2 linked regions of the Caenorhabditis elegans genome follow. The protein of the gene in region 2 interacts with the protein of the main gene of each other region in a pairwise test. Each region holds a gene or a part of one and is shown on either strand. Other genes may lie near its edges. The genes, in order: nhr-53 and gsr-1.

Region 1 (11,238 bases), on a different chromosome or scaffold from region 2:
TGAAATCTTACTGTATATTTGAGGCCCGCGCAGCGTCCACCAGACAACTTACCCTAATGTAAACTTGCATTTCTGCCTCCGTCGTTGTTGTATTTGGATTGTTCACGATTTCGGTGATATTTGTAGCAAGTATATTTAGCAAATTCTCCAAGTTAGTGACACGTTCCAGAGTAACCTGAACTTGCGAAATTTTTAGATTTTGCGACAGAAACAATCCTACAGCTCTTTCATTTCGACTTTCCACTGTCCAAAACATGAATGCTCCAAAAATCGTGTAGCTCAGTACCATCAGAGCCACCATTATATGTCTGAGACCAATTTGTTTCCGATGGAATGCGAACCAATACATGGATCTATCAAAGTGCCGGTCAGTTGGCATCACAGGTTCACCGAGAGCTCCTGGACTACTGAGCACACTAATTGCATCTTGTCTCGGCTTATATCTTCTCTGAAGCTGTCCAAATGTGTCTTGATTCCTTTGAAATCCTGATACGGTATGAGCATTTCTCTCGTAATACTTTTCGACGGCTTCAACCTTTGAAAGACTCGTCGATGAGTTGCTACGCGAGAGTGGAAGGTTCTGCATTGTTGGGTGAACACGGTTCTTTTTTCGCTCTCTTTCTTCAAGTGGGGTTAGCTTTGGCTCTTGGCTGAAATTCTGGAAGTTTTTGTTGTGCAATTTACAGAAAATGGTCATTTTGGAAATTTTAAAAATATCTTAAATCAAATTCTCAAAAATAAAAATTAATAAAAACCTCACCTTTCTTCTGCTGGAGCAACATTATTCACCGGCGGCTCCGGATTTTCCGGTTTCACCCCGCCGTCTTCCTCCTCGTCGATTTCTGAAATAAACTTTTTTTTCAAATTTTAAATTTGTCGTAATTTTTTTAAATGAAAAGTCAAATTCACTGTAAATTTTACACACTCAACTCAAATTTTCAATGAATTCGGAAAGCGAAAATCAGATTTTTTTTTAATATTCAGTTTTTTGACAGCAGACATATATATTAAACAACCAGTCTAATTTTTATGAGCAATTGAATTTTTCGAAATCTTGTTGCAAAATAACAAAATATCCAGGCAATTTCAAAGGAAAAATTCAAATTTCCAGTCAATTTTAAACGGGAGAATTTTTTTAGCAAAATGTCCAATGAATTTTAGTTGGGAAAATATATTTCAAGTCAAATTCAGTCAAGAAAACAAGATTTTCTATCAGTCTTAAGCTACAACACCTATTTCTCTTCAACAAAAACATGACACATCTACTATAAAAAAAATACAGTAATCCATTTAAACGAACCTTCCAAAACTGCCTGATGAGAATTCGCGGGACCATTTCTTGTCGGGATTGTCACCTAAAATCAATACAACTTTCTAGCTTAACCTTCAAAAATCGCATTTGACTTATTACCTTTGCGGTAATCATTTTTGGTCTTTGACGTGAATAGATCAAATGAGAATATCGTGCGACTTTTCTGAAGAAATTCTGAATTGACTGATATGACGAGACTGTATTGAAGGAAAAATAAAAAGTTAAAATGAAAAAACCAACGTATACGCGCAAAAAGTGACACAATGATATCACTGATATCACTTGAAGTGATAATCTCAGACACTTTTCATCTTTGTTCTCATTTCCTCACTGTTTGAAAGAGAAGGGGCTGATTTGGGGGACTATAAAAATGTTAATGGTGTCGTGCACTTTTCCGGATTTTCATATGTTTATTTTTTTGTGTTTCTATCAATTGATTTCTGAAATTACAGTCAAGATTTATAAAACTTCGCTTCTGATTTTCGAATTCGAGTTTTCAGAAAATGTTGTAATTGAAGTTTTCAAAAAAACTCTGACAATTATTTTCATAAAATACTGAGATTTATAATTTTAGAAAATGCTGAAATTTATATTTTCAGAAAATGCTGAAAATGAAAATTTTCAGAAATTTCTGAAATTGAAGTTTTTTTTTCCAAAAATACAGAAACTTAATTTCCGCAAAATTTGTTTGTACTTCCAAAATTTAAATAGCTTTTTTTAGAGATCTAGCCATTAAAAAACGTTTTTTAAAACAAAGTGTACGCAAAAAAATCACAGCAAAAAATGCATACATCATTTGCAACAGGTTGCATATTGGATCCAAACCTCCAAATTGTTTCACTTTTTTATTTCGTGAAAATCAAAACACTGTGACCATTATGACGTTTTGCAAACTTTTTTGAACTATTTAATCGGATTTTCACAGTTTTCAAAGCAAAACTGTTCGACTTTGTGATGACATCCCGCTGTGAAATTGACATCATTTTTGGGAACTGAACTCCAAAATTTTTAATCGTGTTAACAATATAAAAAATCAAAACTAAAAGAATAAAACTGAAATATATGTATGATGAGAACATAAAATTCGTGGAAGAAGTTATGAGTGGGAACTGAGCGCTATCAAATTTTTCAAAGTGAAAAATTATTACAGTATTTTTCATATCACTGAAAGCGCCTTTAAAAAAATAGAATTATCAATAAAATACAAAATTAATATATTTTCAGGTAGCGTTCAATTTATGAAAAAAACAGGAGACGAACAGTAATAAAACAATATTACACAATTTGTTTCAGGTTTGCTTTGACACCCTGTACCAAAACATTTCAACAATTTTTATTCATTGATTGTCTGATGGGAAAAAGAAATATCGATAAGTGATTGAAATGGAAATCTTCTCTTGTCGGGTTTCATTTGGATTTTGAACTTGCTAAAAAATTTCACCTTTTCGGGTAACGTTCTCGTGAACATGGACTGTGAACAGGTGGTAAATAAATACGCTAGTAGGCACGCAGGCAGGCTGTGGCAAGCCTACATTCAAACACCATCTATGGTAGAATCAACTTAGAAATGTGAGAGCTAATTTGCTGAAAATCCTGAAAGTTTCTATAATTTTTTCTTTTTATATTTTCAGAGAGCTTATTTTAAGGGAGTTTAAATCCCAAAATGCTTTGTAAATTATATTTTTATTAGATTTTTCCAGAAAAATTGAACAACTGCATATCTTGCAAATTGCAAGTTTACTTCGAAAAAAATTGAACTCTTCTGGCTTCAGATTCAATTTTTAAAATACTTTCTGCTATTAATTATTTCAGATAATTTGAATTCATTTCCCACATCACGTTCAAGAAGGCTTTTTTTCTTTTAGCCCAATCTCCAACCATTTTTTTCAATCCAATCAACATTTGTAGCACTACAGTGTAGTCAGTGTGTGTCAATCTGTTCCCTTTCTCTAAAGAAAACATCACAGTCCATTGTTCCGCACAGTTGATTTACTTGTGTATTTACTTTCAGTGCCTATCCTATTTGTAGTGCACAAATGAGAGCATTTTTATAAATGAAAAGAGTCTTCTAGTTCAAGGTATTTTGGTCAAATTACATGTTTCAATTTTCAAACAGTATAAGTTTCAATTTTTGAACATTTTAGATTTTCAATTCCTAATATTTTTTATTTACATTTCACAAATCACTCGCTACTCGGGAAACATCGCAGTTAGTGAAATATGAGAAAAAATTAGACTTTTCCAACACGGGATGCTCGCAATATTTAATTTTCCAATGAAAAGTTGCTCTTTAATCTGGTGAAAAAAAATTTTAGACTATGCTGCCTTACGGCTTATGCATAATTTTTTATTTTTTATTCATAATCTCTTCCTTAGTAGCCCACATAACTTATTTTTATTTCTTGTTTCAAGGTTTTAAAATCTGGTTTATTTTATATCAATTTTGCCAAAAATTTTCAAATCCTTGCATATTAAATTCAAAAGTGATCAATGATGTTATCAATAGGGAAACCATATGACGAGGCGAAAGGTGATAAAATGATCTGATTATTGTATTATTGAGTGGTGGCCGCCGTATTTTCACTTTGTTTCACTTCAGCCAACTTGAATTGTTAGTATCTTTTTATAGATTTTTCTTACTATTGATTGTTCATTTATTAAATAGAACTTATTATACCTGAATAAATAACATTTTCATGTTTCTTATGACATTTAGCTAATTCCACTTTGGATTATCCGTCTTTCTATTTTTCAACAAACTCATTTCCCTAATATTTTTATCATCACACATTTTCAACTTTCTTTTCAGAAAAATGCCTTCCCCAACTCATTTATTAAACAATTTCGAAAGTTCTTCTTCCCAAGGACCACCTTCATATTGTCTGATTTGTTGTGAAGTTGCTGATGGACATCATTTTGGAGCAGCAGCATGTAGGCAAGTTTTTTGTATGTTCCTGTAATATATCTACAGTAACCCAACTGTAAACGTGTTAAATATTCACAAAACGTGTACCTTGTGAGCAGAAGAAGCGCTGACAAAAAATATGTGGGCGGACCTCGGTCGATGTCGGCTGCAAATTTACTTTTTTTTCTCAAATAAATTTAACGATTATGTTTCAGAGCCTGCGCTGCATTCTTCCGACGCACAGTCCAACTGAATAAGGTCCACGATTGTCCGAAAAATGGTCAATGTTTTATCTTATCAAGTGAGTATCTATAACTACACCACTACAATTTGTATGGTCCGAACTACACATATTCAGATGTGCGTAACATGTGTAGAGCCTGTAGGTACGAGAAATGTCTCGAAGTGGGAATGCAACGATCATCTGTACAACAGAAACGTGATCAACTGGGGAGGCGAGACGGTTTACCGACGAACCGTGAAGAACCAGTTCTGGACACTATGCGGAGGGCGTATGAAAAGTTACTAGTTGTCAGGAAGAAGGTTCATAACCGGCAGGAGGTAGGGGTGATTTTATACGGATATTTGGATATTGTTAAAGGATGAAATCTGAACTTATGCTTTACATTTTTTTAATTAAAAAATACTCACAGTGAGGGTCGAACCCCCTAACTTTGTGTACAAGAAAACTCCCACTGCGCCGTTTGGGAAATTAAAAAAAAAAAAACTTTAAGAACCTCGAACATAAATTACAGAGTTTCATTTCGAAATTTTCAAAAAAATTACCAAAAGCTTAAAACTTTTTTCCAGAACCAACTTCCCCGAGCCATCAGTTTCAACGAGCTTCAAGTAGTGTATCAAAATGAGATGACTGTAATTTATCAATTCCTTTGCGAAGCATTTCCCGAGTACTCTGAGCTCCTTCCAGACACAAAACGATCGCTTTTTAAGAATTTTTTCCTACCATTCACACTTTTGGAGAGCTCATATTATGGATATTTGACGAGTAAGTTCCACTTTTTAGATAAAAATTAAAATTAAATCAAAAACTGAAATTTCAGAGCAAGAAAATGTGATGCTCATTCCTTCGGGCGACTACGTTGATTTGGCTCATCTAGAGTCATATTTCAACAATAATCATCACACGTTTTCTCAAAAAGACACTATTTCGATGTTTGCTCAGCAATTTCGAATGCTCCACACTTCTATAACTGTTCCGTTGAGTGCTGAAAATGTAGATGTTAATGAGTTTCTAGCTCTAGCGGCTATAATTCTCTGGGAATCCGATTTAGAAGTAGAAGCCGATCGGAAGAATGTTCAAGAGGAAGCTGTGAAGATTAAGAGCGCTATTATCAAGGATCTACTTTTTCACTATCAATCTATAAATGTATACGCTGACGTGGCAATGAGGCTTGGCGCTGTTTTGTCCATACTTCCTTCAATTCAGGTTTGCTGCTCGCGGAGCAACAATTTTTTGATTATAAGCTCAAAAGTTGTTTCAGAGAGCCAGTCACCGTTTCCACGAGTATATGGAAATCAAAAATCTGCTCAATTTGTATGCTCTGCCCAAGAATCTCTACGACATGTTCTCGCCAACTTCCTGAATTTTAATGTTTTTTTTAAATTTATTTTCTTAGTGTACAATAAACAAGTATTATTTTTATTTGTCTATAAAATTAAAACTTTTGTTAGAATTGTCCTGAAAAGCAGAAGTGGGGAATAAGAAGAAGAAATGTGCCGAATAAATGTACCGAACAATGCGACTTTGCAGTTGAGCAACTTTTTGAAATTTTTAATCAAAAGTAATGCTATTTTCAGAAAAAATAACTTTGGCAAATCCATAAGAAGGAGAGGATTTCGCAAATTCTGTTAATGCGCTCTGGTGGAGCATGCTCAGTTTAAAAAAAAGAGTATAATTTCGGAAAGCTGTGCAAACACGCCATGCAATTTTATAATTTTCAATAGGCACACGAGGTATAAAAGCATGCCACAACCATTGTTTTTCAAGAGTTTGTTGAGTTCTGAAATAACATCAGATTAAGCTGGAGTCCGATTTGCCTTTATGACTAATGAGCCTCGTGAATATATAATATATTGTCTCGTTAGCTCTCAGAGTGTTTGATCATATTCAAAACGTGTGTAATGAGTTCTATTTGGCAGACACATCACACAACAAATCTACCTCCAACTTTTTGATCTTACAAACTTATTTCTGCTTTTTTTAGTCTCTATATAGTCTAATCCAAGGGATTTTGTGAAGCTCAAAAATTCAAAAATCTCAGAATATTGTTATTCTTGTTTTTTTTAAATCCATTTGAAAACAGGTGCAGTTGCAGATGATAATTAATTATTCATTTATTTCAGAAACATGTTCACCCTAGCTCGTGTGTTGAACAATATTGGAAGCGCTTCATCCAATGAACCGATTCCATATTGTTTGATTTGTAGTGAGGTTGCTGATGGGAATCATTTTGGAGTAGCTGCAGCGTGTAGGTGAGTAACTTTTTCAAAAATTTTGAAATTCGTGAAATTTTCAGAGCTTGCGCTGCATTTTTCCGCCGCACAGTCCAACACAATAAGATCCACGAGTGTGGGAGAAATGGGCAATGCTTTTTCCTATCATGCAAGTTTTTATTGGTCGGGTTTCAAATATCACCACTAAGTTCAGACGCACGGAGCATGTGTAAAGCCTGCAGGTACGGTAAGTGCCTTGAAATGGGAATGCAACGATCATCGGTGCAACAGAGACGTGAACAACTCGGGAAACGTCTGAATATCTCTGATGATCGTGGAAAGCCAGTGCTTAATAAGTTGCGAAGAGCGTACGAAATGTTAATTTTAAACAGGAAACACGTGCATAATAGGCGGGAGGTAAGGACTGTTTAATTGTTCATATGAAATACTGATACCTGATCAGTGAACCATTTCAGAACCAAGCACCCCGAGCCATCGGCTTTAACGAGCTTCCAATCGTGTTTCAAAACGAGTCGACAAGCATATATCAGTTCCTCTGGGAAGCATTTCCCGAGTACTCCATGCTTCTTCCAGACACAAAACTCGCATTTTTCAAAAATTTCTTCTTGTCGTTCTGTCTATTTGAGAGCTCGTTTAATGGATGTTCAGCAAGTATGTTTTTTTTTCAGCCATAATTTTTTCATTCCATATCTAAATTTTCAGAGCAAAAAAATGTGATGCTCATTCCATCCGGTGACTACATCGATTTGGCTCATTCTGAATCGTTTTTCACCAACGATCATCAAACTTTCACTGAAAGAGACAATATTGAAATACTCGCTCAAAGGCTAAAATTAATACAATCATCTATAACTGTTCCGTTGAGTGCTGAAAATGTAGATATCTATGAGTTCCTCGCGCTTGCGGGTATCATTCTCTTGGAATCGGATTCTGAGTCAGAAGCCGATTTTCAAGAAGAAGCTGTGAAGATTAAGAGCAATATCATCAAGGATCTACTTTTTCACTATCAATGTATAAATATTTATGATGACGCAGCAATGAGGCTTGGCGCAGTTTTGTCCATACTTCCATCAATTCAAGTTTGTTGCTCGCGGAGCAACAATTTTTTGATTATAAACTCTAAAGATGTTTCAGAGAGCCAGTCACCGTTTTCACGAATACATGGAAATCAAAAATATGCTCAATTTGTACGCTCTTCCCAAGAATCTTTACGACATGTTCTCGCCAACTTCATAAAATTTATTTGTAAATTTGTTTCTATTTGATTTTTTTTAAATAGTTATACTGTAAATTTTTGATTCCAGTAGTATTAATAAAAATGTACAAAACTTTGGCAGCCACTTTTGCCGAGTACCTCAGAGCGCATTTGCAATTTCTATAACTGTTTTTTTTAGTTTGATCTACGAAAATGCGCTGATAATCTCTAGCTGTAAATTAACTATTATTTTTAATAATACATCAATAGTACCACGCCGTTGGCTAGACCGGAAATTAAAATGCACAGTTTTTCATATTTCCTTCAGATTTTTTTCATCACCATGATATTGTCTCATCAAGCTGTAAGTTACTCAGAAAACATTCTAAAATTTCCCAATGTATCAGCAATTTGTCGTCTCCGCAATCACCTTTATTGTGAGTTTTTGTAAAACGTAGTTGATAGAAGGTACTGTAAACTGCTCCAATTTCAGGTATCATTAATAGGTATCCTCTCAAATATAGTTTTAGTCCTTGCAATCCGTAAAACGTACTCCATGAATGGCTCTTTTGGGATAATCACTAAAAACCAAGCAATTTGTAATATCCTGACCTGTGCAATATTTCTAGTGTATGTTTTCCCTTTACAAGTTAGGTAGGTGTTACAGGAAAACAATTTAAAATAGTTTTTTTTCTAAAGATACTCACCTCCTATGATTCACATCTCACATTATGTTGGAAACACTTGCATGACAATTTACGAGATTTCGAATTTATCTCATTTATTGATTGCTCTCAATCGATTCTGCGTGCTATTTTTTCAGCATCGATATGAGCAACTTTTCAGGTAATTTTGAGCAATAAGTGGTGCGGGCGATATGGGGGAGGCACGTGGTGTCAGGCAGTACCATTTGATCTACAAAATGCGGGATTTTTTTGCCCAGGAAAGTGCGGCGTCGGCACGCTGTTAACCATGCAAAATCGGTTTAGAAATCGGCGTCTAAATTATCGCAAATCTCGCAGGTCAAACCGAAATGTGACACTCTGACACCACGTGTGGAGAGCGTAAAAAACGTCTATCTTCCGTGGGTGCCTAAAACAGCAAGTTAGTAACACATATTCGTGCACCAGACATCTCCCGGGTTCCGCCACAAGATGCGCTGTCTTGAAACCCTGCAGATGTCGGGCGCTAGCCGTAGTCACATTTCTCTCTTCCAGTAACCCGAACACAGTAATCATGCGGAATTACTTGTGGATAACTTGTATTATATTTTGTGCAGTCTGCTATGAGTTCTCCAAGTGCTTCCTCAAATACAACCCCAACCACTGGTCATTCGAATTTGAGAATTCGGATTTTTGCGATTCTCTGATCTGGTATTCGGATTTCCTTTTCAACACGGGAATCGATATAATCACTTTGTTTCTGAATTTACTGACTGCTTACAAAGGAAGAAAACAGTCACGAGTTCTGATAAATGCGGCCGGATTGAAAGTTTCCGCGATTCAACGGAGAAGAGAATGGAATTTTGTGAAGCAGACCTGTTTTCAAGGCTTATCGATATTTACAGGCCAGGTTGCTTTTTATTTTGTGGCTCCAGTCATTGATGCAGACTGGGTCATTGCTCAATTTATTGCTGCTACTTTTTGGGTGTTTATCCATGCCGCAGAGGGGTGAGTTTCAGGCCTACCTGAGTGCCTACAGGTCATATCACAGTTGCTTTCCAAACAATTTCAGAGGAATAATTTTGGCGTCTAATGGAGAACTGAGAGCTGCTTTTAAGAAAGGTATCAGCCAATTTATTCATTTCACTTAATTTGTTTTCAATTCAGAATCCACTGCAGTTTTCGTGATTGTTCGGAGGGTGTCGGTTTTGTAATTTTTTTGGTATTCTTCTCCACGAGAAGTTTTTGATGAATTTATCAAAAACTTTTTCGGAAAACACATTTTAATAGAAAATTAATGAATATCTCACCCAGCAATAAGATTTTTTTCACTAGAAGCTATAATTTTTCTGAAATTAATATATAAAAATTCCCTTAAAAATGGGAAATTCTCAAAAAATACAGCAACGTTTCTGAAAAATCAATAAATTTTTAAAAGAAGTTCAATTTCCAATGTAAATATGAATTATCCGAAAAAAAATCATAAATATACAAAACAATTGAATTTTCAAAAAAATCGATAGATTTTCAGAAAACTACATTTTTAAGAAAAGAGGTGATTGTAGAAAGACAAGTGCTAGGCAGGCACGTAGGCAGGCAGGCGGCAGGCAAGCAGGCACGTAGGGAGAAATATTCTTATTTTCGTTTAGATGATTTGTTTCAAAATTACATGTATTAACATATTAATTTTTAAAAATTCCGTGAATACGAGTTATACATTAAAAGATTCCATTTATTTTCTGATTTTGCTTCTGCACCTTCTGAGACGAATTTTCTTTACTATTATTTTTCTCGATGTCCAAACAAGTATCATATACGAGTTGTTTCCCTCTAAAATCTGGTGCAAGACATTGGAAAGTCATGCAAAGGTATTGAAAACCGTCATAAGCCTTGTTGGTGACATTGTACAAGGATAGGAGGTCAGTGAGCCGAGAAGGTGCGGATTTTTGGCATGTTGACTGACAATATTGGAGCAATGCAGAGCAGTAACGCTTTTGATGTCGGGATAGTGTCTCCTTAGCTTTTTCAGATAGCTCATCGGAAATTGCTGAACAATTTTTTTTAGAAAATTGAAATGCGAATTCCAGCCAAAATTGTTTGAAAAAAATATTTTTATTTTCAAAAAATATTTTTAAAAGGAAATTGTAAACGTTAATTTCTCGCCAAATTGTTCTTAAAATTGAGTATGGCAATTGTTCTAAAAGCTAAAGTATTAAATTCAAGGAAATTCAAATTTTTGCGCAAATTAAAAACATTAAAAAAAAACTATCCCGAAATTTGAATTTTAAATTTGAAAAGTTTCGGCGAGAAATAATAAAAATATCGTTTTAAAAAGTTTGGTAAAAATTGCACATTTTAATTTTTGAAACAAATTTTTGTCAGGAAATTAAAATTAAAATTTTTTACAAATTGATGCGAGAAATTCAAACAAAAATCTTGCAAAAAAATATGGCCGGGAAGTCCAAATTTTAATTTTTCAACAAAAATTGGTATTAATTTTTTTTGCATTTTTTTGTCAAATAGTTTCGACTGAAAACTTTTTTAAATGTTCAAAAAATCTTTGGTGCCAAATTAAAATTTCAATTTTTAAACAATTTTTCGCCGAAATTTTAATTTTGATTTTGAAAAGTTTTGTCTTGAACGAAGTTATAACCTTAAAAAATTGGGCAGGAGGTTCAAACTTAAATTT
Region 2 (11,951 bases):
GGATGCGCTTTGCGACTTTTGCGCGGTAATTCAAATTTGAATTTTCCGCATAGTTGAATTTAGCGTATTCTTAGGGCAAATTAACAGAAAAAATGTATGAAATTTCAGAAAATGGGTGATTCAAACACCTGGGACCTTGTTGGAGAGCAGCAGCAACGGAAGAAAAGTAGATCACCGTCAAGAGCAAGCCGTGTGGATTCGGAAGTAATTTTAAGCGCATTCAATATGTACTAATTAAAGGTGCATACACTTTCAGCTACTTGTCGGTGTTGAAAACGCGGCTGAACTTGAAGCTCTTGGCCTAGGAAAAGAGCAGCTGGAAGAAGAAGCCAGACGGCACAAAAAGCAGCGGAGCAAGTCGCCGGCTCTCGAGAATATTCGAAAAACTTCGATTCATCTTTTGCAAAAATTTGGAGCGATTCCAAAAAAGAAGGATGATAGTGTTTTACTTTTTAGATTTCATGATATTCCTGATATTCCCTTGGAATCTTTATGCATCAGGTGAGAAAGAAGTTGCAAAATTTATTTTGAAAATTCGAAAAATAATTTCAGACCGAAAGAGTTTTTCGAGGAGCCCAAAGTATTTTCCTTTCGAGACATGGGCAGGGAACAGCAGAAGGCAGAGGTTAATGAGAAGTGGTAAGGGGTTTTTGAATTTGCGCGTCAAATTCGGTGTTTGCATTTTCCAAGCTCGAGCGACAATGGCCGAGGATTTTTCTCGGCCATATAGAAAAACCGATCTCTTGCGTTTCTAAGTTGCTACAGCCGCGAAAAAAAACATCGGTGGCCGAGTTTTCCAATTTTCCCGGCCACGAATCAAAATTCGGAATTTATTTTCAGCTCCTACTTATTCCGTGGCACCTCATTCGACCACGACGATCATTTCGAACTTCCCACTGAAACAGGCCGTGTTCCAGAATATGATCATTTTTGCCCGATTCATGGATCCAGGCGAAGACTTCCACGTAATAAATTGGTCACAATGCAAACTCTCATGCATTCGGTAGATGATGAAGATAATGAAGATTTGGCTTATATTTATGGGTTAGTTTTCAGAGAAATTTGAATGAAAATTTTAATCGGTTTTCAGGCACGACTTTCTGGCGAAATTGGTTAGGAAGAAGAAGCGAGAAATGATGAGTGGAACGGAAAAAGAAAGAGCTAATAAGATTAAAAGGAAAATTATGGTAATTTTCAAAACGTGGCTGCGAAATGGGAAAACTAGGCCACCACAGAAAACTAGGCCACCAGAGAAAACTAGGCCGCTAGAAAGATAAACTAGGCCACTAGAACGATAAACTAGACCGCTTGAAAAACTAGGCCACGATCAAAAAAGCTACTACTATTGAAAAAAAAAACTAGACCACTGGACAAAAAGCTAGGCCGTTCGAAAAAAGACACTAGAAAATAACTAGGCAGTTTTTAATTAATTTCATTAATTAATTGCAATTAATCAAGTTTCAAAAAATGCGAAAACTCGGCCACCGACTTTTTTCGCGGCCGCGTGGTTCAAAACTATGAAAAAAATAACAGCAAAGTCGGTGGCCTAGTTTTATTGTCTCTGCCAAATGACACATACGATTGTAAAAATGGCTGGGAAAATCAGTGGCCTAGTTTTTTTCTAGTGGCCTATAATTTCTCTAGCGGCCTAGTCTTGATTGCTAGTGGCCTAGTTTTTTTTTTTTTCTGGTGGCCGAGTTTTCCTTTCAAATTAGGATACTTAGGATATATAGTGGCCGAGTTTCCTGTTTTCGCCACTTCAACTAGACCAACTAATCGAATCATTTTCAGTCAAATCTCTGGATTCTGTCCGTGGCTTTTCTCTTCCTGTTCACTGCATTTAACGGACTCCAAAATCTTCAAACTTCCGTCAATGGAGATCTCGGATCTGATAGTTTAGTGTAAGAACGTTTTGAATTTCAATTTGAAAAATAATAATTTTTCAGAGCCCTATATTTATCACTTGCCATATCATCATTATTTGTTCCATCATTTATGATAAATCGCCTCGGGTGCAAATTAACATTCCTTATTGCAATCTTCGTGTATTTTCTATACATTGTCATTAATTTGAGGCCGACGTAAGTTTTTGCGTTTTTTGAGCGCTTGTAACTCAGAAACTAAAATAGTTAGCAAAAAACTGTCAACTAACAAAATGTTAATCGATTTTTGATCTACATTTTGCTAGTTGACAACTTTTTGATATCTTTCACCTATAAGAAGTTATGTGCATTTGAAGAGCTAGAGATATAAAAAATTTATTGCCATTTATTTCCGTTTAGAACTTTTTGCTGTTTAGCATTGTTAGTTCTAAGCTACGTGGCTTTTTCCAGATACTCTTCTATGATCCCTGCTTCAATATTCTGTGGAATCGCGGCTTCATGTATCTGGGGAGCCAAATGCGCGTACATTACAGAAATGGGAATTCGATATGCTAGCCTGAACTTTGAAAGTCAGACTACTGTTATTGTTAGGTAATGGGCTGATTTTCTAAACCTTTTTCAAGCTTTTCAAGCTTTTAATCAAGCCAAATTCAGATTTTTCGGATATTTTTTCATGATTGTACACTGCGGACAAGTCGTCGGAAATATGGTATCCTCTTATATTTTTACACTGTCCTATTCGCAAGCCCTACGCGGTCCTGAAGATTCTATATACGATAGGTTTGCCGAAATTTTTTTTTGAAGTTTTAAAATTTCAATTTTCCAGCTGTGGCTACCAGTTTCCAAAGAATTTATCAGATCTTACCGAGTTGGCGGAGAGCAATCTTGCTCGGCCACCACAGAAAGTTTATGTAGCAGGTGAGCCTACATACCTACATACCTACATACCTACATACCTACATATCTACAAACCTACATACCTACATACCTACATACCTACATACCTACCTACCTATACCCAATTTTTTTTTAAATTTCAGTTTGTCTGGCATACCTCGCTTGTGTAATAATCAGTGGAATGATAATGAGCATGTTCCTGAATGCTTTGGCCAAAGATGCTCGGAACAGGTTTGCCTACTTCCAGTCTTCTCTTAAATTTGGCTCTGAGGTTTCAGAAAAATGGCTCAAAAGTTCAACTCGGAAATTTTCTACCTCATGCTCAAACATTTAATCAATATAAAGTTCATGTTGTTGGTGCCGTTGACGATTTTCAATGGTTTGGAGCAAGCTTTTCTAGTTGGAGTTTATACAAAGGTTAGTGTTACGTGGCCGTTAAGAGGGTAAACTCGGCCACGTCACTAAATCGCAAAACTGAAAATTTTCTTCCAGGCATTCGTCGGATGTGGCCTTGGAATTTGGCAAATAGGCTTTGTGATGGCCTGCTTCGGAATCTCCGACGCAGTCTGTTCCCTAGTCTTCGGGCCACTGATCAAGCTTTTCGGTCGGATGCCTCTTTTTGTTTTCGGAGCAGTAGTGAATCTATTAATGATTGTTACACTTATGGTATGATGCACCATATTTGACGCGCAATTTCATATCTCCTCTCAGGTTTGGCCACTAAATGCAGCCGACACTCAAATATTCTACGTAGTCGCTGCAATGTGGGGTATGGCAGATGGTGTCTGGAATACTCAGATTAATGGATTTTGGGTTGCACTTGTTGGAAGACAGTCTCTACAGTTTGCATTCACTAAATATCGATTTTGGGAATCTCTTGGAATTGCGATTGGATTTGCGTTGATTCGGTGAATTTTTTTTTTGGCTTTTGCCGCATTAAAAATTTATGGGGACGCATCCATTTTGTAATCGATGTGGAAACGCGCTCCACGGGCAATTGAAAACGCTCCGCCCCCTACAGTAGGGTCTCGTTAGGTAGTTGTGGTGGGACCTTGTAAATTCAAACTTTTTCAATTAGTTTCGCCGATTTCCATGCATTTTTCGTTTTTTTTGTTATATTTTCCGTTCTTTGTAAGGATTTTTTCGCCGAAATTGATGAAATAAAGTGGAATTTAAAAATTGAACTATTTTTTAAACTAAAAACGTATTTTTAAACATAATTAGTGGAAAAAATGACGAAAAACATTTTTAGAAACACAAAAAACATTTAAAACGTTAAAATTCGCGTTTTGGTCCCCAATACCTAACGAGACCCAGCTTTTGGGGGCAGGACATTTGCATTTAGCCGTGGAGCACGCTTGCACCTCAATCTGACTATTCGCATTTTTTGCGTCTCCATAATAATGTTGGCCGTGAAAAAAACAGGTGGCCGAGTTTTCTTTTAAATTTCCCGGCCACGCTAGATTTAACTTGAAAAATAATTGAATTTTCAGACACGTCACAGTTGAAATATATTTGCTGATAACATTCTTCATGCTACTTTTAGGAATGTGCGGATTTTTAGCAATTGAAAATTTCGATCACATTATTGTAAGGCTGATTCGAAGAAATTAATTTTTTCTAATTTTAAATTTTCCAGAAATTTTGGCATCACTTAATTCACACGTCATGTCCAGAGAAGGAACCGTTGGATGATAGAAATTCAGATTTTGAATGAAAATAATTAAAAATCAAAAAAATCAGTTAATAAATTCGTACTTTATGTTTTATTAAAAATTCGAAAAGTCGAGAAGTATAACAAAATGCAGTAAAATGAGAAATATGTGATAAAAATTAATAAAACGTGGCGGGTGGCTAATTGAGTTTCAAATTGCTAGACTCTGCGTTTTTCTTGAAAATTTTCAGAATTTCCAGTCCATGCTCAGCCATCATTTCGGGACTCGACATTCCGGTGTCGTAGAGAGATTTTAGAAGAAATCTGGAAAAATTTAATAGGATTAAGCCGTATGTGTCGATTTACGCAAGTCGTGTACTCCTCGAGAAGAAGAAGAACACAGTTTTCGGCTAAAATTCTTGATTTGGAACTGTTTGAGCTAATTTTTTCTGTATTCGAGTTTAGAGCACCGTTTTGTAGTTACAGTAGTTTTCGTGACGGGACCCAAATTGGTTTAGCACCCGTCGAGCTGTATTCAAAATTCCTGCTGAAAATAGAAAAAGGATTTTTTAATCATGTTTTCTATACTTTTTTTGTTTTTTGAAGTTTTTTACAGCAAAAGAATTGGCGAAGATGGTTCAAAATAGATCAAAATATACCCAAAAGTTGTGAATTTTTAAAAATAAAATGCAAACTTCTCTTCGAGGAGTACACTTTTTATGTTGGGAATTTTCCTCACGTCAGAACATTTTTCTTATCACCAGGTGTGCATTGGATATTCTTATCAGCCAATACTAATTTATCATGAACACTTTGAGATGGCTGAGCGACGGTTGGACGGAGACAGAATGTCGTTCGGAAATTTATCATTGGACGGTAGAACTCTAATGCACTGAAAAAATTATTATTTTCATTTCATTATTTTCAATTTTCCAGCCGTACTCTGCATAAATCCATTTTCTCAGATTGGCGGCGTTCACCGCTGATACGAAATAATCTCTTTTACTCTTCCAGATTTGTTTACGCCGAGCCAATGGATACTCTTCATCTATTCCAAGTTCCAAGTCGAGTTGATCCCAAGCACGGCGAGACAAATTCGAATTCCGATGACAAATCAGGCGTTGATCCCATAGGACTAAAAAGGGAAATTTTTGGAAAAACTTCTTGATTTCCTGACTTACTAGGCCTTTTCCGAACTGCATATATAATATCGTACACTTTTTCAGGCTCCGCGTAATCGATTTTTGTAGATTGGCGGACCCGATTGTACTTAAAATACTTGTCTGAGCGTGTTTGCACAGTCAAATCACTGAAAAAAGGATAAAAAAGAAATCTGATAATAAATGTTTTAATTCATACTTTCCATCATTCTTGAGCATATCGGCTGTAATTGAAGGAATGTACATCGAATTGTTGGATGCTCGATAATAAACTGTTTCGGGAATAATTCCGGCATCAGTTTTCGCTTTTAATTCTTCGTAATTTGTCTGAAATCTTTGAATAGAATTGAAACGAATATTATAAAAAGCTGTACCGGAATATTGCGACAAGATCTTCTAGTTGGTCCAAGACGAAGTTTCTTCGATTCGCTGGCGCTCTGAAAAAATGTTTGATTTGTCATCATTTTTTCTAGTTTTCAGTGAAACTTTTGTCATCATTTATTAGTTTTTTCTTGTGCCTGATTGAATTGATTGAAACTACATATAAATAATCACTATTTTAATTTTATTGCCCACTCGCGCTCTTTTTGGTTTTTTTCTAATAAAATTGTCTTTCTTCTCTGCGCACTCCACTATTGACCAAATCAGTGTTTCTTTCTATTTGTCATTGCCCCGACACTGCGAAGAACGTTCGCGATTGTTCTTTGTCTTTTTTACCTCTCTTAATTCCTCCGTTGTAATTGATTTCAAGTCGTCATCGAGTTGTTGAAAATCGGCAAACACTTTTCGCTTCACTATTCGGCCGCTTCGAGATTTTTCAACTTCTGAAAAATTGAGAGATTCATATAGACCATTTTTCAACATTTACCTGTCATTTTTTATTCCAGCGTGCGAATCCGTTTGGAAAATTGAGCGGAATTTTTAATTTCCAAAAAAACTTCTAAATTTCAAATTTTAAACTCTTCGCGCGCTGAAAAAGGGGCGGAGTTTTCAATTCGCAAAATGGGCGCGAGCTATTTGCAACTTGGGCGCACAATTTAGTCCTTGATGTTTGTTTATTTTTTGCTGATCAAATGTCTAAAAACTTCTGTGAACCCTTCTGAATGCTCCGATTTCGCTGCATTTTGAGCACTTCGAGGTATTAAATTGTTACTTTTTGGTTTAAAAAAAGTTTTTGTAGTCTTTGTGGAGTCAAATTTCCATAAAACCTCTCGAATTTCGGAAGAAGGGCGGTCACATGTTTGTAGTCGCGCTTTGCTATCTTTGTAATTTGTCATCGTTTTTGCGTCAGTCGATTTTGAGTATTTCATTCGAAAAATAAACTTTAAAGTCCACTTCGCGACTGAAAAGAAATAAAGCTTTGATTTTTCTGCGAATTTTCAATCGCGCCTCTCTTTCGATGTTCTTACAAGTTCTGTTATTTTCCAACTTTTAATTATTAAAATTCGAGTTCCAGGTCGATCATGTCTGGCGTCAAGGAGTTCGACTATTTGGTGATTGGTGGAGGATCTGGAGGTATCGCTTCTGCTCGGCGTGCTCGTGAATTCGGAGTTTCCGTCGGGCTCATCGAATCTGGACGTCTCGGAGGAACTTGCGTCAATGTTGGATGTGTTCCGAAGAAAGTTATGTACAATTGCTCTCTCCACGCCGAATTCATCCGGGACCACGCTGATTACGGATTTGATGTGACGCTTAACAAGTTTGATTGGAAGTGAGTAATTTTTAATTAGTTTAATCAAATAATTCTTAATTGTTTTGTTTTTTAGAGTGATCAAAAAATCGCGAGATGAGTACATCAAACGACTCAATGGTCTTTATGAGAGTGGACTGAAAGGATCCTCAGTCGAATATATTCGAGGACGTGCAACTTTTGCAGAAGACGGAACTGTTGAGGTCAACGGAGCGAAGTATCGTGGAAAGAACACGCTCATCGCTGTTGGAGGAAAGCCAACCATTCCAAACATCAAAGGAGCCGAACACGGTATTGATTCCGACGGATTCTTCGATCTCGAAGATCTGCCAAGCCGGACCGTTGTCGTTGGAGCTGGTTATATTGCCGTAGAGATTGCTGGAGTTCTCGCAAATCTTGGTTCAGACACGCATCTTCTTATTCGTTACGATAAGGTACCATGAGGAACATGGAAACTTTTCAAGTTTAACTAAATAATTTTCAGGTTCTCCGCACATTTGACAAAATGCTCAGCGATGAACTTACTGCTGATATGGACGAGGAAACGAATCCACTTCACTTGCACAAAAATACTCAAGTCACAGAAGTAATCAAAGGAGATGATGGTCTTTTGACAATCAAGACAACGACTGGAGTCATCGAAAAGGTTCAGACTTTGATTTGGGCCATCGGAAGAGATCCACTGACAAAAGAGCTTAATCTGGAACGTGTTGGAGTGAAAACCGACAAATCTGGGCATATTATTGTCGATGAGTACCAGAACACATCTGCTCCAGGAATTTTGTCTGTTGGAGATGATACTGGAAAGTTCCTTCTCACACCAGTCGCAATTGCTGCCGGACGTCGACTCTCTCATCGTCTGTTCAATGGTGAAACTGATAATAAGTTGACTTATGAGAACATTGCCACAGTGGTTTTCAGTCATCCACTTATTGGAACCGTCGGACTCACGGAAGGTATAATATCTTTAAAATTTAATTCTTTGTGTCAAATTTAATCCCCAAAATTTCAGCTGAGGCCGTTGAAAAGTACGGAAAAGACGAAGTTACCCTCTACAAATCTCGCTTCAATCCAATGTTGTTCGCAGTCACCAAGCACAAGGAGAAGGCCGCGATGAAGCTTGTTTGTGTCGGAAAAGACGAGAAAGTCGTCGGAGTCCATGTTTTCGGAGTTGGATCCGATGAGATGCTCCAAGGATTCGCTGTTGCTGTCACAATGGGCGCCACGAAGAAACAATTCGATCAGACTGTCGCGATTCACCCAACTTCTGCCGAAGAGCTCGTTACTATGCGAGGAGGTGTGAAGCCGGAATAATTTTTTATTTATTTATTACATTTTTAAATTTGGATCAATTTCTTTTGACTTTCTTGTAGATAAAACATTGCAAAATTTAAAATGCATGGCAAAAAAATTATTTACAGGTTATGCAAAAAAATCTAATTATGGTGAGTGCTACATATTAACCCGATGGGTAGATTTTGGTAGGAAAGGATTTTCAGAATTAAAACTGCAATTGAGACTATTCGAGAAGCTCATATTCGTCATCGGCGGCCACTTCTGATTTTTTAGGTTCTCGTCGCCTCCGTCGGATGGTTTTCTGCAAAATTTGGAGTTTTTTGGAAATTATTAAAAAGAAGAAAAAACTACTTTCGGAGCATCCAAATCGAATTCCTCATCACTGGATTCCGATCCATTGATTGCTGAGAATTGAAGACCTCGTTCGAATTCGAATTCTTCTTCTGAAATTTATTAACTAAAATAATTTAAAGAGTCTCTGAAAATAACCTGGAATCGGCGAAGAAGACAATTCCGATTGAATATCTTCATTATCATCATCATCCACATGATTCTCATCGAGATCGGTTTCATCGTTCACTTCTGGAAGAAATCCTTCGAGTTCCACATCGCTTTCTTCTGAAAAATCGATATTTAAAGTAAAAAATTGCTTAACAAAGTGAAAACGCGCTCCAATGCCAACTTTATATAGTCCACCCTATTCTCGTGGGTCTCGCCTGGAATTTCTAGCTTTTTGTCGTTTTTTAAAACATTTTTCGGTAGTTTTAATCATTTCTATGTCAAAATTGGTTAATTAAAAATTTTTTAGATTCATTTTTACATGGAAATCAGAAAAATAGAGGAAAAGTGTAAAAAGCAATTTTTACCATTTTAAAAAATTTTGTCTACTCCTTCGTTTCTCGTAAAAAAGTTTTTTTTTCCGAATTAATTAACTCGTTTTCAATAATTTTTAGATTAATTCAAACAGGAAAAATAGGGTTGAAAAAAAAATTTTTGTCTAAAAAGCCCTTTTTATTTTTATTTTAATGTAAAAAATGATCAAAAAATCGCTTTTCCGTAGTGTAAATTTCCGTTTTTTTCCAGACGAGACCCAAATAAAAGGGGCAGATCGATGGGAGTTTGCATTGGAGCGCGTTTCATAAGACGCACCACAAAATGGATTTTTCTCGGGAATATGATCGATAACTGTCTCACAGACTGGGCCAATTACGTGGATTAATGCACTTGTCTCGATGATTTTATATCGACTATGGAGATAATTTACAATGGGCTGAAAAATTGAATTTTTAAAATAAAATTAAAAAAAATTACCTCCAGGAGCAAGTGGTACACAAAAATCGAGACCTGCTTCCCCACCTCAACCATCAGACAACAAATTGGCCAGAGAATCGAGTCTCGCACGGAAATTGCAATTCGATGAAGGGTGTCGCGGAGCCAGCAACGGAGTTTTTCAAATTGGCACAATAGGAATCTGGAATTTTTTTGTTTTTTCTCAATTACTTTAAAAGTATAGAATAATGAACCTAGAACTCTCAAACTAACCCCTTAACCGGAACCCAAATATGCTTATAAGCCAATGCTCCAAGTGATTTCAACTGCTTAACACTGAATTTCCAGAGTGGTGGGAACCAGTGAGCACAGAAAATATAGACAAACACGAAACAAAGTTGATCGAAAAGGTAGCGGAGGGGAACACCGATCTGAAAAATCTTGTGCTAATCTGTATAATTCTATTGTAGTAATGGGGGAACACAGGCCAAACAATACTCAAATTGGCCCCCAAAAGAACGGAATTTATTAGCCTTTTTCAAAATTTTGTCGAGTTTTTTTGCTTATTATTCTCGTTTATCTGACGATTTTTCGTTGATTTAAGTACATTTTGAGCTGATTATTCAAAGAATCAAATAAAATTAGGGTTTGAGGCCATTATAAACATAGAAAAGAAGGCAATAGAAAATTTTCTAACAATTTGAGGAAATTATGAACAAAAAAAATAGGAACAATGAAAAATTATGACGGCATTGAATGAGCAAAAAAGAAGCAGGGAAAATTTCATAATAGAACTGATAAAAAACGAAATTAAAATGCTTACATTCAATTTCAGCCACTCTTTCAACGTCGGCCACCATTCTGCACAAAACCAATATCTGAGGAATTGACGAATTCTCTGAGCAACTCGTTTTGTTCGTTCTACGATCGCCACGTGGATCCAGTTTTTGATACCATTGACGAGTTCACGACATGATTCACGGAAATTGAAGATAAAATGCTTTACGTAGGCGATTAGAGCTGTAAAAAGAGAGGGGGTTTTCGATTTTTTAAAGAAAATATTTCAAATTTTTTGAAAAATTTTTTTTCAATAAATTATGTTTTTTTTTCCTGAAAATTAATAGCTTTACGGGAATTTTTCACAAAAAATTTGAAACATTTTTGCTTCGAATTGATTTTTTCTGGAAAACTGGCAATAAATAGATTCGATTTTCGATTTTTCGGAAAACTTTTAATTTTTAAAAATGTTCATAAATAAATAATTTTAAAAATCCCAAAAAAATATAGTGTTTCGGAATTTTAAATTAAAAAATTGGAAAATCTAAAAGTTACCGTATTTTTTTGATTTTTCGGGAAGAGAAAATTCCAATTTCCATTAATATTGTCAATTTTTTTCATAAAAAAATATTCTTAAGTTTCTCATATTTCCGGAATTGGTTTTTGAAAACAAAAAATTTAATGTTTTTATTTGGAAAATTTTTTTATTTTTTTTATTTTCAATTTTTCAAATAATGTACTTATTGCCAATTTTAAAATTTATTTCAATGAAATTTTCATTTTTCTTTAGATAACAAACATTTACAAAATTTCGTACAAAAATCATAGTTTTTTCCATTTTCCGATTTTCTCCGAAAATTCAATATTTTTGTGAAAAATATTTTTAAAAACTTACGTGGAACCCATCGGAAGAGCACAATATATTTAGTATACTCATATACAGTAACAACTGGAGTAATAATAAGATATTGAATCCAACTTCCAAACCAGGAAACTGTCCGCCGCGTTGCTGACGCTATTTTCGAGTTGACTTCGTTGTGCTCCCACACTGGATTTACAAGGAGACACGCTACTGAAAATGGAAAATTTTTTTTTGTTTTTTTTAATCTAAGAGACTTAGTATTGCGCGACATATCTCGTAACGAAATCTACAGTAAGTGACTTTAAGTGACTACTGTAGCGCCTGTGTCGATTTACGATTTACGGGCTCGAGTTTCGAAATGAATTGGAATCTTTTGAAAATCGACACAAGCACTACAGTAGTAATTCAAAGAGTTACTGTAGTTTTCGCTACGAGATATTTTGCGCGTCAAATATGTTGCACA

The links.
Region 1: the proteins of gsr-1 (region 2) and nhr-53 interact in a two-hybrid assay, tested with the Caenorhabditis elegans proteins (one large-scale study listed by BioGRID).

What each region holds. Positions count from the first base shown.
Region 1 is NC_003283.11:15,695,247-15,706,484, reverse strand, and holds nhr-53 (Nuclear hormone receptor family member nhr-53), read left to right. Parts: upstream 1-4,121; 5' UTR 4,122-4,125; coding exon 4,126-4,247; intron 4,248-4,432; coding exon 4,433-4,518; intron 4,519-4,575; coding exon 4,576-4,778; intron 4,779-5,027; coding exon 5,028-5,223; intron 5,224-5,278; coding exon 5,279-5,664; intron 5,665-5,719; coding exon 5,720-5,821; 3' UTR 5,822-5,879; downstream 5,880-11,238. Other genes in the region: twk-34 (Potassium channel domain-containing protein), read right to left, coding at 53-175, 221-650, 761-842, 1,301-1,355, 1,412-1,426; Nuclear hormone receptor family member nhr-199, read left to right, coding at 6,586-6,710, 6,755-7,088, 7,148-7,343, 7,395-7,957; srx-29 (7TM GPCR serpentine receptor class x (Srx) domain-containing protein), read left to right, coding at 8,286-8,324, 8,381-8,541, 8,587-8,733, 9,105-9,557, 9,622-9,700; nhr-198 (Nuclear receptor domain-containing protein), read right to left, coding at 10,268-10,596. UniProt on the Caenorhabditis elegans protein: Orphan nuclear receptor.
Region 2 is NC_003281.10:3,644,279-3,656,229, forward strand, and holds gsr-1 (Glutathione reductase, mitochondrial), read left to right. Parts: upstream 1-6,628; 5' UTR 6,629-6,697; coding exon 6,698-6,732; intron 6,733-7,050; coding exon 7,051-7,305; intron 7,306-7,360; coding exon 7,361-7,718; intron 7,719-7,768; coding exon 7,769-8,240; intron 8,241-8,296; coding exon 8,297-8,598; 3' UTR 8,599-8,680; downstream 8,681-11,951. Other genes in the region: Putative potassium channel regulatory protein unc-93, read left to right, coding at 97-204, 257-501, 553-639, 841-1,044, 1,091-1,187, 1,792-1,901, 1,947-2,081, 2,334-2,474 and 8 more; madf-8 (MADF domain-containing protein), read right to left, coding at 4,635-4,758, 5,174-5,326, 5,377-5,569, 5,616-5,743, 5,794-5,921, 5,969-6,031, 6,312-6,418, 6,463-6,469; C46F11.5 (RING-type domain-containing protein), read right to left, coding at 8,804-8,881, 8,929-9,023, 9,070-9,198, 9,730-9,850, 9,892-10,051, 10,123-10,280, 10,673-10,869, 11,522-11,698. UniProt on the Caenorhabditis elegans protein: Catalyzes the reduction of glutathione disulfide (GSSG) to reduced glutathione (GSH). Constitutes the major mechanism to maintain a high GSH:GSSG ratio in the cytosol. Involved in resistance to oxidative stress and starvation.